2 linked regions of the Schizosaccharomyces pombe genome follow. Changing the gene in region 2 together with the main gene of any one other region gives a genetic interaction. Each region holds a gene or a part of one and is shown on either strand. Other genes may lie near its edges.

Region 1 (6,904 bases), on a different chromosome or scaffold from region 2:
CTTAGAATTGTTTGTGAAAGAGAAAAAAAAACCGATTATGAGCATAACGATGTCCGATTCTTCTGCTTACGGCGAGGAATTAATGCGTGAGCGATTTGAGCACTTGCTTAAAGCTTACGAAAAAATGGCTTTGATGGTAGCAGAACAAGAGGAGTTTAATGCTAAAATTGAGGACATGGCTTTGAAATTATTAAGTGAGAAATATGACAATGAGGCTTATCAAGCTGAACTGTTTTATCGCTTGTCTAATTGTGTGGAAAAAGTCCTGCACAATAAAATAAGTATCACTGATCTAAAGACTGAGTATGAGGAGATTCTTGAGCAAACGCTGAAGAAAGAATGCAAGGCTTATGAAAGATCTTGTATTGAGAATGTGAAATTAAAGAAAAGAACAGAACAAGCAACCGCATATTATGCTAGTTCCTCAAGCGAACCGTAAAAAATGGGACATATGAGTCGATGTAAATTTCTTCGAATTTATTAGTTATTAAGCATACTCAGTCTATGTGTATCTTTTCCTTCTAAAATTTGACATGACAATTTACGACGGATAGTGAATGGAAGTAATGTGCAAACTATGTCATATATTATTTTTAGTTTTTTACATCTCTCCATTACTGATGGAAGTATCTACTGTTTAATTATGAATGTTTTATAAATGAAATAATTTATTTGTATGAAAAAGCATTATTGCGAAAAGTCTGTACAACTCTTGGTAAAATTATCACCATGAAGAAGCTTTTTATATTTAAAGCGTTTGTTTATTACCCCTTTTCAATCGTATTCAATCATATTCTTATAGTAGTTTTTATATTTACGATCCATCCTGCATTGCCCTTCTGTATCGGACAGGTTGAAAACGCGTAGCGGATTAAAAATCAAGTTTGAACAGACTAATGTGCTTTATTAAACATAATTTGAGAAATTAATTATCTTCTGTTCTAAGATACGTTCAAGTTTTACTCAAAAAATCAATGTGTACATCAGAAGGTTGGAGTATTTACCTACGCTTAAAATCAAATTTGCTTTGAAAAGATATTAACTTTCAAATGTTCAAAATTGCCGGAAAGCGCATAAAAAATATTATTAACTACTTATTAAAACATGTTAAATAAAGCATGAACAATTCCAAGCAATTTTTGAAGTACCAACCCTTACTTGAATGGCTAGCAAAACACGAAGCTTACATTTCACCCAAACTGTATATCGCTTCAAGTGGGGTCGCAGGAGATGGTATATTTTCTACCTTTGATATAGATGAACTTGAAGTTTTAGCAAAGATTCCTAGAAGGATCATTCTGAGTCCTCGCAACTCAAGATTTGGAGATTCGTTGTATACACATTTTAATGAATCTAATCGGTCTGATGATATTAACTTTGACAATAGAGATCAGGTTGGGCTGGTCATGCTCGTTATAACTGTAATATTGGAAAATATAACAGATAGTCCGTGGAACGCTTATTTAAACACCTTGGACGAAACTTGTATGCCTGATTCCCCATTATTATGGAAAGATAAAACGTGTCTTGAGGGAACCTCAATGCTTGATGTAATAAATACAAATTTAAGAGTATACAAAAATCAATATGATCAATTGGTCCGCCCTTACTTTTATAAACATGCTGATCTCAAACAGCTTTGTCCAAAATGGAATCAGTATTTAGAGACTTGTGTTCTCGTCCAAAGCAGGTGTTTTTACGTTAACAGCTACTACGGTTTATCTTTAATACCCTTTTTCGATATTTTTAATCACAAGTCTGGTCCAGCTATTGCTTCGCTACATTGTCAGGAGTCAAATGATCATAAAGGCGATATCAAAATAGAATTTATTTCTTTTCAGTATATACGAAAGATGTCCGAAATATTCAACTCCTTCGGAAACTTTGCCGCTGATGAATTGTTCACGCAGTATGGATTTATTGATACCGCTTGCAAAGTTTGGCGCGTCGACATGACAATGATTGCTTATGAAACTAACAGAAATTTTTATATGGAGTGGATTCATAAAAAAAGAATAATCAACACCCAGGAGTTGCTGGTCACCCCAACTACATACGCAAATGACAAGTCTGAGACTTTACGTTCAGTAATGATAAGACAACCTATGGATCTTTATATAATAACAGATCATGGTCCCAGTTACGGGCTTTACTTATATTTATTTTTTTGCATTTACAAAATCAAATTCCAAAAGTGCGATATGAATATAGTAATGCTTACAAAGTATTTTAATGAAATCTGGGCTGTGTTTATAGCACATAAGGAGGGAGAAAAAGAAAAGGTTGTTGCTCAACTCTCTGGTTTTTCTTTTTATTGTAAGGCTATAGAATTTCTACAGATGCTGTGTCAAAAGCGCATTAGTCGTTTCAAAAATGGTGGGTTGACTGCTGAAGCTTATAAGACTCTATTGTGCGATCCGACTCTTAAACGAGAGAATAGGTCTCGTTTAGTCTTACAAATTTTTTATCATGAACTTAATTTACTCGAAAAATCAATGCAAGAAACAATTTATCTTTGTACTGAAAATTTTGAAGATTAAAAAAACAACATACAACGGTTGGAAATGTTGCATAAAAGGAAAAGGTAAGATCGAAGTTCAGCTTAAATTTTAATCATAATTTTGTGCCCTTCTTAATTAACATTGTAGTAACTTTATGATGTTTTCCAAAACCCTGCATCGTTCCCTTTCTAGATGTCCTGTGTAATAAATAACCTATTTGCCATTTCAAACTTTCGGTATAAACAGCATCAGAAATATGAAAGCGTCAAATTAAGCAAATGAATTAGTAGGCATAGAAATAAGAAATCCGATGACAATTTAGATGAAAACCAGTGTAGAGCACATAAAGTGTACAATTTGTGAAGGAATAACATAATATTAATCGTGCATGGTAAACTATGCTTTCCATGGCATTCTTTCTTATGAGAAAAGGAAGTAGAAAACGCATTTATAAAATGACTTTACTGAAAATACATATGGCATCTTTTTCCCTTTAGTTAATTAAACTAAATGATAAAATATTAAAATTAGTCACCGTCTTTGATGATTTGGAGATCAAAATATCCCGGAAATAGTTTTTTGAACCGCAAAATTCCAAACTGTTAAGCTAACCGATCCTACATGCCATGTTAGTATTTCAGCTGCCATTGTGATAAATGAAAATAAAAATAAAAAAAAGATTTTCAGAATTTTCATTAAAAACAACATACCGTAGATTGATCGTGGAAGAGATAGCACCCATAGAGCCCAAGAAGGAAGCAAGAATGCAGGGAGGAAAAAGACAGGTGTTTTGGACTCTTTGAATTGAATATAAAACCGGAATCCACGGGTTAAAATCCAAAGAAAAAGGCTTAAAACCCGCTTGAAAGTATCTTGGAAAATTTTAACATTGGCTGATTGTTTTTCCCACTCTTGACTGAGTTGTTCATACTTTCTATTCAGACGGGCCCATTTAGCAAACTGATCTTGACTGCTAGTAGCGTTTAGCTCTTTCTTAACAGTAAGCAGCTGCTCTAAAATTTCTTTGTTCTTCTTTAAATCTTTATTATTAGAAACACTAACGTAAATTCGATAAGCCTTTCACATTATTAGTTTTCTTTACAACAAGTATATATGTTAAATTACCCCATCAATAGTCCTTTTTTTTGCAAATTTATCGAAGAAATGAATAAATAAGCTTAATAAAATTGTTGAAATAATCAGATCCATCATAAAATATGGACTTGTAAGAAAGTACAGTGGTTAGTGTCAAACGTGTAACTGTTGAGTATCACGCTCCCTATGACATGCTGGTCTAAAGGTCGAAACTAAACACAAGTTTGTTTGTTACGATATTAGCTATTTTGTGTTAGAAAATAATAATCTATTAACCTTTTAAAGTTCAGAAGAATTGATGTTAAGTATATTTATCTAGCTTCTGTAATATTAAATAGAAAAAATAGATAAAATAGCTATATGATATTCAATTGACAAATACTTTGATCATGAGATCCATGAAAGTAACTATTTTCATTCATAACGCTTTATTTAAATTCAGTAAATTGACAAATTAGGCAGAAGGTTGTTGAGGAGATGGGGGGATTGGTGGATTTCGAGGATCGTGATCATTTTTATACTCAGACTGACGCATAAGTTCAGAAATATTTAAATGTTTGTATGCATATGGCCTTGGTCCAAGAATCGTCTCAACTTCGTTATAAGTGATGACTTCTTTCTGTAATAGACGTTGAGCAATATTTTCTAAGCCTTGCTTATGTTCTAGCAAAAGTTTCTTAGTTCTTTCGTATGCATGCTTTACAAGCTTTCGAATTTCTTCATCAATCATTTGAGCTGTAGCCTCAGAAAATGGTTTTTGAACAGTTTCCCGAGTGTCGATGGGATAAGCTATAGTACCAACAGTCGGAGACATACCATATTGGGTCACATACGCTTGAGCCATGCGCGTTACTTTTTGAAAATCATCGGAAGCTCCCGAAGTAATCTTTTCTGGTCCAAAAAATATTTCTTCAGAAACACGCCCAGCCAAAGCCATTCCCATTTGATCTAAAATCTGCCCTCGACTCATCAGATACTGATCTTTGGGTAAATAACTAGCATAGCCAAGGGCTTGAGCTCTAGGAATGATTGAGACCTTCAATAGTGGATCGACGTACTCCATAAACCAACCAGCTACCGCATGTCCAGCTTCATGATGAGCAACGGTGTTTTTTTCTTCAGGACTTAGTACCCTACTCTTCTTTTCCAAACCTGCCGTGACTCTTTCAATAGCTTGCTCAAAATGTACCATTTGGACTTCATTACTATTTGATCGTGCTGCAATTAACGCTCCTTCATTACATACATTCATTATATCAGCTCCTGTAAAACCAGAAGTTAGGACGGCAAGACGCTTGGCAATTAAGTCGATGTTATCGGCTGCCTTAATATGCTTAAGGTGGACCTTAAATATTTGTTCACGACCGCCAATATCAGGACGATCAATCGTAATTTGACGATCGAATCGACCAGGACGTAGAAGTGCCGGGTCCAATACGTCTGGTCGATTAGTACCAGCGAATACGACGATATGTTCGCTAGACGTAAAACCGTCCATTTCAACTAATAGCTGATTAAGAGTGCTTTCGCGTTCATCATTGGAACCAAATTGTCCTCCACGTCCTCTTGCTTTACCAATTGCATCAATTTCATCTATGAAAATAATACAAGGAGCGTTCTTGCGAGCAGTAGCAAAAAGATCTCTTACGCGGGAAGGTCCAACACCAACAAACATTTCAAGAAACTCAGAACCTGACACACTTAAAAAAGGGACGTTAGCTTCACCAGCGGTGGCTTTAGCAAGAAGAGTTTTACCGGTACCAGGAGGACCAGAAAGAATGGCACCACGAGGAATTTTAGCCCCCAACCTTTCATAAAACTTGGGATTTTTTAAAAATTTGACGAATTCCATAATCTCTTCTTTAGCCTCGTCAACGCCAGCGACATCAGCAAATTTTATTTTGATATCAGTTTCATGATTAAACATCTTCGCTCGGCTCTTACCAATTCCAAAAATGCCACCTTGACCACCTCCTGCGGCACCCGAAGCCCGTCGCGATAAATAAATGACACTTCCAATGATCAGTAAGGTGGGAGCAAAAGACAATAAAGTAGCAAGAACAGAGACTTCGTCATGATAAGCGACAGGGACAAATTCAGAAGGTGGAATACCCAGTTGACGTTGTGCATCCTCTAGTTTTCGATCGAAAGAGTCGATGGAACCAATTGAAAAATAGTACTGCCCTGAACCTGAAGCTACACCGCCTCTCAAAATAACTCTAACCATATTGCGGTTAACAACAACTAGCCGTTCAACTAAACCCTTGTCTAAAAACTGTTGTCGAAAATCTTGCCAAGTAATTTCTTGCATATTTGCATTAGGCGAGAGAACATTGTAAAGGATATAGGCAACTAAAATTCCACCTAAAATAGTGTTGCCATTTAAGGCTATTTCAAAAACTTTTTTCGGATCATTGCCATTCAATCCCTTCTTTTTTGAATCATCATTTTTCTGGCCATTTTTCCTACCATTAGCATCAGAATTGGATCCTGAAGACCCATTTTGCGATCTTTTTGAGGTTACGCTAAATTGTTTAGATGAAATGAGAGGGATTTTATGTTTTTCCGGTATTCCTTTATTTATTTTAAGGGACTGAAAAGATCTCTGAGAAAGTGAGAGAAGAGAAAATTGTGAAACAGCTGTGGAACGTGTAGAAAAAGTATAAGCCCTTGCCAAACGCAAAGAAGAAAAATTATCCTTCTTTACGAATTTAGAAACCAGGTAATCTCCTGTTTTCCTAGTAGGTGCCCTAAACGTCAAAAAGGGATTTCGCATAAGGAATATTATATGGAAATAAGTCGCAGGGTACAATAACTTGAATTGAGCGTGTAAGGGCAAGTATAATATATAAAACCCTCAATATCGAAAGAGATAAACGTAAATGATTGTTTTAAGAAAAATATCCTTCGTATATGACGAGTAAAGGTGGATTCTAGAATTAAAAAATTCAAGAAAGCAGTAATTAATCGTTCAATTCAGTAATTGAGACCAAAACGAATAGAGACGAAAAGTTATAAGGTTGTATTAAAATAAAAATTTATTATTACCTCCGGACATGGATTTGGGCAACCTCCAAAAAGCGTTATGAAATTGAAGAAATTCCAATGTTTCACGTCAGCAAAAATGGTAATTAAAAGGAATAAGAACACAGTTGTCACTTTTTTTTCAGCTCAATAAACCCGTTACTAATCCTGTCAACAAAAAATAGCCTAAAGGAAGGATAATATAGATGCCTTGGACTTGTGTGTTGTGGGTAGTGACAACCTTCCGAAGCATTAGTCATTTATTATGGGCACCGACCGTAATG
Region 2 (9,822 bases):
CCAGTAATACAGGAAATATAAGATGATACTTTTTTCTAAAACAAATAAATATGAAAAATCGACCTTGATGTAAAACGAGAACCTCTTTTAAACAATGCGATTTCCCAATATCCTAGTAATTAGCCCATTTCTGTTCAAAAAAATCAAATGGAAAAAAATAAAGTACTCAATTGTATTGAATAAACTATTTCACCCTCCAAACTAGCCAACATTCAGCCCAAGCAAAAAGTAATGCTTTTTCCCATATCCATATCGCTTGTAGCTTTACATGAAAGATTGGCAATTACGCAGTTTGCAAAATGCTTTTAAGGATACGTCAAGCTGCGAAAAAATTACGTTCCTACTAAGTCCTTATGTAGTTAATACCGCAGTATAAAGATGCGTTATCCATCATTTTTTGGTTATAATTCTACAAGCGGTGAACTCAACTAAACATCAGAATTGTTCATAAGCTAATATGGAAAGGGATAAAGGCGTCGCTCCAATTGTTGTAGAAAATGTTGCATATAATGAACAGGTAAGAAATGATTGCAGAGCTAGATTTTCTTGGTACTAGTTTTTTTAAGGATTTTATAATTGAGTGCTAATGAATCCAAAGGTCGTTTCTTTTGTTCGAAACTTGACTTCTAGTTTTTTCGGGTGCGCAGCTGGTATTTTGGGTTTAACTTCATATGAAGGGCTTGCTCTGTATGTACTCGGTTACTTCTTCGTCTCCTTTCTACTCTTTGCATTGAAAATGCGTGGTAACTTAACTAAGTATTACCAGCCCGGATATAAGTTTTGGATCGCTAAAATATTAGATGGCGCACCTTCTTATGTTTTAACTTGGACATTGTTCTACAGTTTAGTATATGGTAAGAAACTTGCTCGATCGTTGCTATTTTATTTTGTTTGAATAGTCAGATCTCGCATTGAAACAATTACACGCTAACTAAGTCATTAGTTTATGAGTAATGTGTTTAATTTGATTTATGCATTTGGCAATTAATCCAAGATGAACCCTCCTTATTCTTGTTCAGCCCTTTCGTTAATAACACATATACCTCATTAAGATCTATTGTTTGAGAAAAAAGTGGATCTCTTCCTTTTGTTCGTGAACCCATCCTATAAATATTTTGTATTTCCTAATAAAACACAAATCTAACTGTTTTTTTACATTTCTTTACTTTTCCTATAGAAAATAGGATATTTGTTTAAAATATATTTGTCCTGTCAGCGATGCTAGAACATAGCACACACATTCCGTTGTATTCATGTCGTCTTCCTTAAATTTGATTTCGAAAACTTTGCATGAGATATGTTCTACTTCTTTAAGAAATTGTCTCTAGTGCTTAAAAACTAGCTGCTTCAGGGCACATGGATGCCTAGGCATTTATTTTTTGAACACGTGTTTTACCATTATTATACAGTTGAAGTAAACACTGCATATATTCAATATTTGCAACAACTTTGACAACGGTTGAAAAGGACAAAATATCATATTCAAACACGATCTTTGAAAATTTTGAGACTAATGAATTGTATTGTATTATCTAAACTTACTAAAAAATGAAAACCAAATTCAAAGATGCGACAATTTTACATTTATTTTCAAAATTGTAGAGATATTTTTAATCTACCACAGTAGATTTCCCCTATTTACCATATAAATAACTCATAAACAAGCTAACCTCACAAAGACAATAATAATAATATAATAACCAAAGAAAGAAAAAAAAAATCACCAACAATCATAAAGTTGAGCTGATAAAAAAGGGACTGACTATTAAATAGAGGAGATTATAGTAAGAAATTGAAATGTCCCTAATAATCAAAGAATAAAGTATTTTTTAACATAAAAAAAGTCTGAAAAGAAAACTAAGTTACACCGTCAACGATTAAGAGATTAGCTCATTAACAAGCCACCACATTATTCATTTTTTGGTATCGTTTAACAGATCACCAATATCCAAGGCGACTTTGTAAACAAACGTGGGAAAGACAATATAAGTTTTTAATGCTTTGCAGGTGGAGCAGGTGACTCTTCTGAAGCCACCAAATTATGGACATGTGTTGGAGAATGAATAACTTTACCATTTTCCATATGGCACATCGAAATATCATTAATCCAATTGTCTGCAAAGACCCTGTGAATGTCGTAACGCTTAACAGGATCCAACTCCAACATATGAGCTATAACAGCACGAGTTTCTCTTGGTAGTAGGCGCAAAAGTCTCCAGGGTCCATACAACTCTTGTTTATGAGTTGAAGAGTTATCAGTTTTAGAGTTTGGACTATGTGATTCATCGGTTTTTCTAATAGGTTCGCATCCTTGCTCGACTAAGCGCTGTTTTTTTATGTCAGCAAGTATATCACTGGGAGACTCAGCATCATTTGAAGGCTGTTTCATACAAAACAAACGGAAAGAATTGTCTGAAAGCTTGGGATATTTCCAAGGAAAGCGGCGAAGAGCCATACAACAGAAAATAATGGCGGAGGACCAGATATCCACTGCACGAGGATCATATAGTTTCCGGACCAAGGTTTCTGGTGCAAGGTATGGATCCGAACCGACAACACCAGTGGCCTCAACGATATCGGCTTCAAAGGGGTATTTGAAAACGACAGCGCTACCAAAATCAATGATTTTAACAAAGCAATTACTATCCACAACCAAATTATCGAGTTTCAAGTCTCGATGCGCCAAACCCATCGAATGTAAATAGGCAACACCTGAGAGAAGTTGTTTGAAACAACAATAAACTTCAGGCATTGTCATCTTACCACTCATTACGATGGAAAACATATCGTATGGAGCATATTCCATAACTTCATAGAATTTTTTATTTTCCTCAACAATATCAAGGGTCTCAATAATATTGGTATGGTGCAAAGCACTACCAATACAAAACTCAGCAGTAACCTTTCTGGCATATTCACGCTCGGTTTCAGTAGGCCTTCTTGCACGGAATTCTTTGACGGCGAAAATTTTACCATCAGAAGATCGCTTCATAATACGGACAGAACCGCCTGCACCAGAGCCAAGCATTCTTCCAAATTTTCCGTATTTTTTGAAAAGACCGAAATGATCATCTTGGAGGTTAGCGGAAGATTTTGACTTGGAAACAGATGGCTTTTTCTCCTTGTCTGTCTTTTGATGGGATTTGAAAAAGCGACGAAGATCTAAAGAACTATGATGTTTTTCGTGCTTGTCATGCTTATCATGCTTGTCATGATGATTAGGAACAAGAGATTTCAACGATAAACTACCAGAGTGTCCATGATGACCATGCTTTCCATGATGAAGACCCAACTTTCTGAAAATGAACTGTGAAGGGATATCATGTGGATTTGTCTTAATAGGAGCACGGCGGGTGCGTCGATAAGGATCGTTGGGATCGCCGACAAGGTCTTCTGAAGAAGGGTATGCCTGAAAAATGGGGGAGCGATGATGCTGAGTGTTAAAAGAGCCTTCATCAGATTCGCCTTCACCACCACTGCCGCTGTTTTGTGAAAGAGCAGGAGAGGTGTAACCAGTCGAACCTGAAGGTTTAGGACTAGCAGCATGTAAAGCATTTTCAGTACGAGGGGGAAGGACGGTAGAAGAATTAGCAGAGCCATGATAATCATCTTCATCCTCAGAGGTGATAGCGGAAGGGGGAATGGAAATAGGTTCGAAGTGACGTGCAGCAGATGAACGATAACGATCCTCGGCAAGTTTAGGGTCAATGTGATTCTTTATATGGACGGGGGATTGAACTCTGGGAAGAGGATGATTCATATCATCGTCCGTATCAGCGTGCTCAGAAAAGTCGACAGGATGCAAACGCTGAGGAGGGTTACGAGGAGGACTCGTTATTTTTAATTCAGTGTCAAGTTTATTTTCCAGTGAGGAACTGGAATTGTCTGATTTATGATCGCTATCCCCATTAAGGTTAAACTGTACATTGGGAGGGGTGACAGACATGTTCGTAACGGCAATCATGTGCAATTGTAAAATAAAGAAACAAAAGAAATATTCTAGTTCACTGAAGAGCAAACCACCGGTAAGATTAGAGAAAAAAGTGTTTTACAATGAACCAAACAACAAGTGGAAGGTTTGGTAAAAAGGTAAAAAACAGGGAAGAAAAAAGACAGAAAACTTCAGAATACAACAAGGAAAATACAAAAGAGAAACTTGAATGAACTCAAAGGAATGTAGTTGTTAAACTATTTAACAATACAAGTTTTCAAGTACGACACAAAACAATTGCGTAAGAAAGTACGATTCAAAGAGGCAATCTCAAGACGGAGTGAATGGGAACACAAGAAATAAACAAACACGTCAAAGAGAAAGTAGAGAAAAATCAAAGATTTTTGACAGATATTAGTTTGTAACGGAGATACTGTCAGACGAGATGGGAAATTGAGGAAATGTCAAGCGAGTTTTTTTTAAAACAACGGATGACAAGGGAAGAATGAATAAATAAATATATAAATAAATAAATTCCAAGTAAGAAAAGGGTTGAAGAGAGAAAAGAAATAAGTATTTCCTAAGAAGATAACTTTTTTTTGATGGGAAATCGAGCGCTGACAACAACGAATTGGTTATTGTTTATGGAAAATTCTTTGGCGCAACGACAAAGGAATGAGAGATTTCAAGAACAAAAAAAAAAGGAAATAAGGAAGAGGGAAAAAAAACAATACTGGAATTAATTGGGAATGGGGAACCTTTTTATAGGTATATCAGTAGATATTTTCCAAAGGGAGAAATTCAAGGTAAAGTGAGCCGACGAGACGATCCGATCGATCACGACACACAAAGAGGAAAAAAAAGAGGCTTTAAGAAAAGCACACAAAGGAAATAAAAAAAAAGAGAAGATAAAGAAAAAGTGTGAAAACCTTGGGTTCAAATAAAGTATGAAAAATGAGAAATGAATTGAGATTACGAAACAGGAAATTCTATGTATTCATAGAAAATAGAACGTACGTAAAAACAAAACAAAACAAAAAAAACAACAACAAAGAACAAATCAACCCAAAAAGGGAATTCGAAAGAATGTTGATTGAAGGAAGAATACCAAGGGGGAAAGAGAATCACACAATTCACTCACTCACTCACTTTCGGGATACCGATCACACCAAATAACGAAACGGAAGAAGCCGGAAAGAAGGGAGTGGAATAGGAAGGGTGAAGGGACGAATGGCAAATTGAGTAGAAAGAATTCGACTCAATGAGGATGGATGGATGGATGGAAAATTAAGGGAATTGGAAAAAAGCGTAAATGAATAGAAAAGTTGGAAATTGATTTGTTGTTTTTCAGAAGAAATCACAACAATAACAACAATGTTTTGATGGGAAATAAGATCTTTATGCTTTATTCAATCTTTATTTTTTCGTTTACTTTCTCAAAATTCTTTCAATTCCTGTTTTACCCAGAAAAGAAATCAAAGGCAGATAGACCAAAGGGAATCAAAGCAATGCAATGGACAAAAAAAACTTTCGTTTTTCGTATCGTATCGTATGGTTTGATTTGCTTTTGCTTTTGCTTTGTTGAGTCAAAGTTGTTGGACTATGACTGACGGGGGAGTGAAGTAGAGCTTTTTAGTATAATTCAAATCTTACAATGAATTTTTTTATTTGCTAGTTTAAAAAAAAAAAAAAAAGACGACGAGAAACAGGTTCAATTCCTTGATAAAAAGGAATCAATCAATGTGGCTCTCAACAATACTATGAAAAAAAGTGGATGGGAAAAGGCAAAAAGTATTGCGGTGCACGGCAGGTGTATATAATATATGTATACGAAACACGCAGTCTACTACAGCATCTCCCATGTAATCTCGAATGGCCGCTCTACATCAACTGCCGAGTCGCATTGGATGGAGGAGCTAGCAAATCCACACGATCTCCGGGAATCCCACCCATGCAAGTGCCGAAGTATGATGTCACTTTTAGTTCGGCTACAACGTGTTACCTCCGGCGAGCGACTCCACAATCCGTTGCACCGCGCTAAACGCTGAGAGGAAGAACGAAAGGCTAAACGCTAGCAAGCAGGGGGGATGACGTGGGGGAGGGCGAAAGGGAGTTGAGTGAGCGAGACAGGCGGTGTGTGGGGCGAGAGAGGGGAGTAGAGGGGAATAGCGAAGAGGAACGCGACCTCGTTGGGGAGAAGGAGAGCGAAAGAAGGTAGATGGGGGGCGATTGAGAGTCGAAGGAGGAATTGAGATGGGATGAAAGGGAGAGGTTAAAGATGAATAACGTATAAAAAAAGAGATTGTTATAAGAGATAGAGAGATGGAGAGAGCTAAAGAAAAAATTAAAGAGGTGGAAGAGTAGCTAGAGCTAAAGTGTTGAAATTAGCTAAAGTATGAAATTCACTAGAGTGTGGGAAATGTAGATAAGTAAATGATGATTGACATGTTTCATTCAATACTTTGTATCATCATTTGTCAGGAAATTAATTCCGTTGATGTTATCATTTCATCCATCTGCCATGGTCATTGCTTCGTGCGACCGCCAGTCGCTTCCTTTTCCATTGAATTTGGATCCGACCGTTTGGTGGAAATTTGGCAGAGGATCAATCGGAAGGAATGATCGGGTTTATTAAAGTTGAAGGAAAGAAGGGAAAAAAAGTTAAACACAAAATAAAGTAAGGAGGAGGAGGAGGAGGAGGATGAAAAAAAGAAAAGAAAATTTCAGCAACCCAAATCTAAACAAGGGGAGGGGGAAAAAAAGAGCGGCAGTAAGCAAGAGGAATGGGAATTTAATTAAAGAGGAATAGTGATTTGATTAAAGAGGAATAGTGATTTGATTAAAGAGGAATAATAATTTGATTATAAGAAGAATAATAATTTGGTTCAATTCAATTCAGTTTGATTCAACTCTTGTTGCTTCTCACTTGCCTTTCTCTCTCCTGTTTATTGCACACACTATTCCTCGTTTGTCATCTCGCCCATCCAGCATCCTGACAATGACACTAGTACGAGGGAAAGACATTGGAGCATTTCTAGAGCAAAAGCAAAAGCAAATGCAATTACAATTACAATTACAATTTTATTTTATTTTTATTTTTATTATTATTTTATTTTATTTTATTTCGTTTAATTTAATTTAATTTAATTTAATTTAATTCGATTTTATTTATTTTCTTTTAATTTTTCCTTTGTTTCCTTTTCTTTCACGGCCGCCCTACAAAATTTTCTTCTTCCTCATCCAAACAGTCAGACGGCCGAACACAAAACAAGAGCAAATGCTAGATGCTCATGAAAAAGTAAAACTAAACTCGATTGACTTTTGAGACTATATGCACATCAGCCTTTCCTTTTGTTTGTTTTTTTGTTTTTTTTATTCTTTTGTTTTGTTTTTCTTCTCTTTACTTTTCTTACCAGCCCTAAAATTCTGTGGGTTTGTGATATCACTATATTTCGTTATACCACTCTTTTAATGACATCTGTATATCTCGTTATCTTCATCTTTTCAGTGACTTCGCTGTACCTCTTTATATCCCTTTGCTACTTGTTTAGTTAGTTGGTCTAGTTTTTTGTAGCATTCGTTATTAGTAAGATCCTTTTGTGGCTTTGTTTGTACTTTGCTTTGAATCGAACGGTTTTTCCTTTTATTTTTTATTTTTTATTTTTTATTCGCTGGCTATATTGCTTCAAACCATTTCTTACATTCGAATGGTTTTTTTGTTTTTTAAGCATAAAAACATATAACATTCACTCTTTGACTAGAATTCAAAACAATTGCCAACATCTTTTTGATTTTTCTTCTTTTTCTTTTCCAATCCATCAATGTTTCTATCAATGTCTTACAATTCTCTCTCTATCCATCTTTCATCTCATCTTTTTCTTCCTCTTATTACAGACAGACACCTTCTTCGCTCACTCTTTCCTACTCTCTCTCTCTCTCTTCCTTTGGCCGCTCCACGTTTCATTCCATTTACCGGCCTTCCTTATTTCTCGGTAATGGTTTTTCCGATCGTCACGGTATTGCTCTTGTCTCTTTCTTTACCCACCTTGGCGCGCCCTCGGCACTTGACTTGACTTGATTGCCGACAAAGTCAAGGTGTAACATAATGGATCTGCCCCATCAAACTTTTTCCTTCCTCCAATCGTTGGCCTTAAATTTACTTTTCTTCCAATAAGCTTTTCATCTGCGTTTAAACATTTTTGCTTCGGTTGATGCATCTGACGTGCTTGGGTAACACCTTTTGCTCGTTGGAAGATTTTGCACTTGGTTTTCAATTTCCGCTATACTTTTGTTACCGGTCTTTATCATACTTGCACTATACAATATTATCGCAAATATTTAACGTCTCGTTGGTTTCGCCGAAGGACCGCCCCGCGGCTGTCTCGGTTCACTCTCCAACAGTACTCCAGACTGTGGTAACGTGTTTGTATGCAGCGTAGAAGGATTTGTTTATAAGATTTCAATCTTTTTTCTTTTTCTTTTTTTTTTCTTGGTTTTAGAATTTTTATTTTTATATATTTATTGATTAATTGATTTACTTATTGATAGATTGGTTGGTTCATTTTTTTTCTTTCATCTTTTTCCAATCTATATGTATGTGTATATAAATATTTTTTATTTTATTATTTATTTTTTATTTATTTATTTTTTTCATTTCCCTCTATTTATTCACTCCGGATCACTTCCATCCTTATGTTATTTTAAAAAAAAATTTTTTTTTTCTTGTTCTATACTTCTGTTTATTTTCATGTCCTTTTCATTTCGTTCAATTAATTTCATTCCATTTCCTTTTCTAATATTTTTTTTCCTTTGCGATCGCTACCTTTTCCATACATATCTTGTTTTTTCCTCCATAGTATCCACCTTGTAAAACAAAATTCAATTAAATTGAAAAATTAATATTTTTAACAAATTTTTGAAAAGTTCGAAACTGCTGATTTACAATTTTCATCCATTCTTTGCTTTCCATTTTCTCCATTTCTCCTCTACTTGCGACACTTGGAAATCCATGTATAACCGAGTTTAAGGTTATTTAATAAGCGAATGTGTAGTTTTATTAATACAAAGATTGTTGCGCTCTTATAATCAACTATTTGCATAAAATTCATCTCTTTTATTTTTTAATTTATCATAATCTAAATAATGAAACCCCTCAACATGTCTGAGGACTCCTCCTGATTGCGAAAAAAACACCCATTCACCAATACACCAATTTAGAACCGGTTTTCTAATGTTTTTCTATTAATAATCAAATCATCCTCATAAAGTTCTTCCTTCAAGCTCACCATTTTTTATTTTTTCAAGTATTCATTCATTCCAAATTTTGCTTTTTCAATCCATCCAAACCTGTAAAGCCGAAACCGTTCCTGTCCAAAGATCCTTCTCTTTACTTTCATCCTCTTCTTCACTTTCATCCTTCTCATACTTGTAAATTCTATTTCCATAACATACACACTTTATCTGCATGTTTATAGGGTTCGCTTGTACTGTGTTTACCGTCAAATCGTAATTTCCCGTCACATGCGTTTCTTCCACAAGATCCTTGTTTCTCCATCTACGAATACTTCCATCCGTCCCACCTGCCAAAATTTCATCCTTTTTATCAGTGTCGAAAAGAATCCTTTGGTTCGTATCGCCACGATGCCCTTCAAGAGCATATACCATGTCGCGCACATACCGTATATCCCAAACTTCAATCTTATCACTGCATCTGCTTCCAACATATAACTTTTCTCCATCCTCACACCATTGTAGATGTGTCACTCCGTTTCCTCTTTCAATCGAAAACTCTAGCTGACAAGGGCGACGTCCGCAATCATTATAAATCCCAACTCGATTTGAATACGTTCCCACTGCCAATGTTTTCGAATCCATCGGATTCAAGGAAAAGC

The links. Genes that interact genetically often act in the same process or in processes that back each other up.
Region 1: mutations in oca2 (region 2) and get1 together harm fitness more than expected from each alone (negative genetic interaction), as found in Schizosaccharomyces pombe (2 studies listed by BioGRID).

What each region holds. Positions count from the first base shown.
Region 1 is NC_003423.3:4,315,756-4,322,659, reverse strand, and holds get1 (GET complex subunit Get1), read right to left. Parts: upstream 3,752-6,904; 5' UTR 3,714-3,751; coding exon 3,627-3,713; intron 3,579-3,626; coding exon 3,212-3,578; exon of another isoform or gene 3,119-3,211; coding exon 3,057-3,118; 3' UTR 2,541-3,056; downstream 1-2,540. Other genes in the region: protein Spo2, read left to right, coding at 38-439; SPOM_SPBC16C6.01C (lysine methyltransferase), read left to right, coding at 1,119-2,540; m-AAA protease Yta12, read right to left, coding at 4,051-6,372.
Region 2 is NC_003421.2:756,908-766,729, forward strand, and holds oca2 (serine/threonine protein kinase Oca2), read right to left. Parts: upstream 5,718-9,822; 5' UTR 3,947-5,717; coding exon 1,994-3,946; 3' UTR 1,461-1,993; downstream 1-1,460. Other genes in the region: protein Emc6, read left to right, coding at 458-517, 599-854, 944-954; heterotrimeric G protein beta subunit Gnr1 , read right to left, coding at 9,263-9,822. UniProt on the Schizosaccharomyces pombe protein: Overexpression causes cell cycle arrest.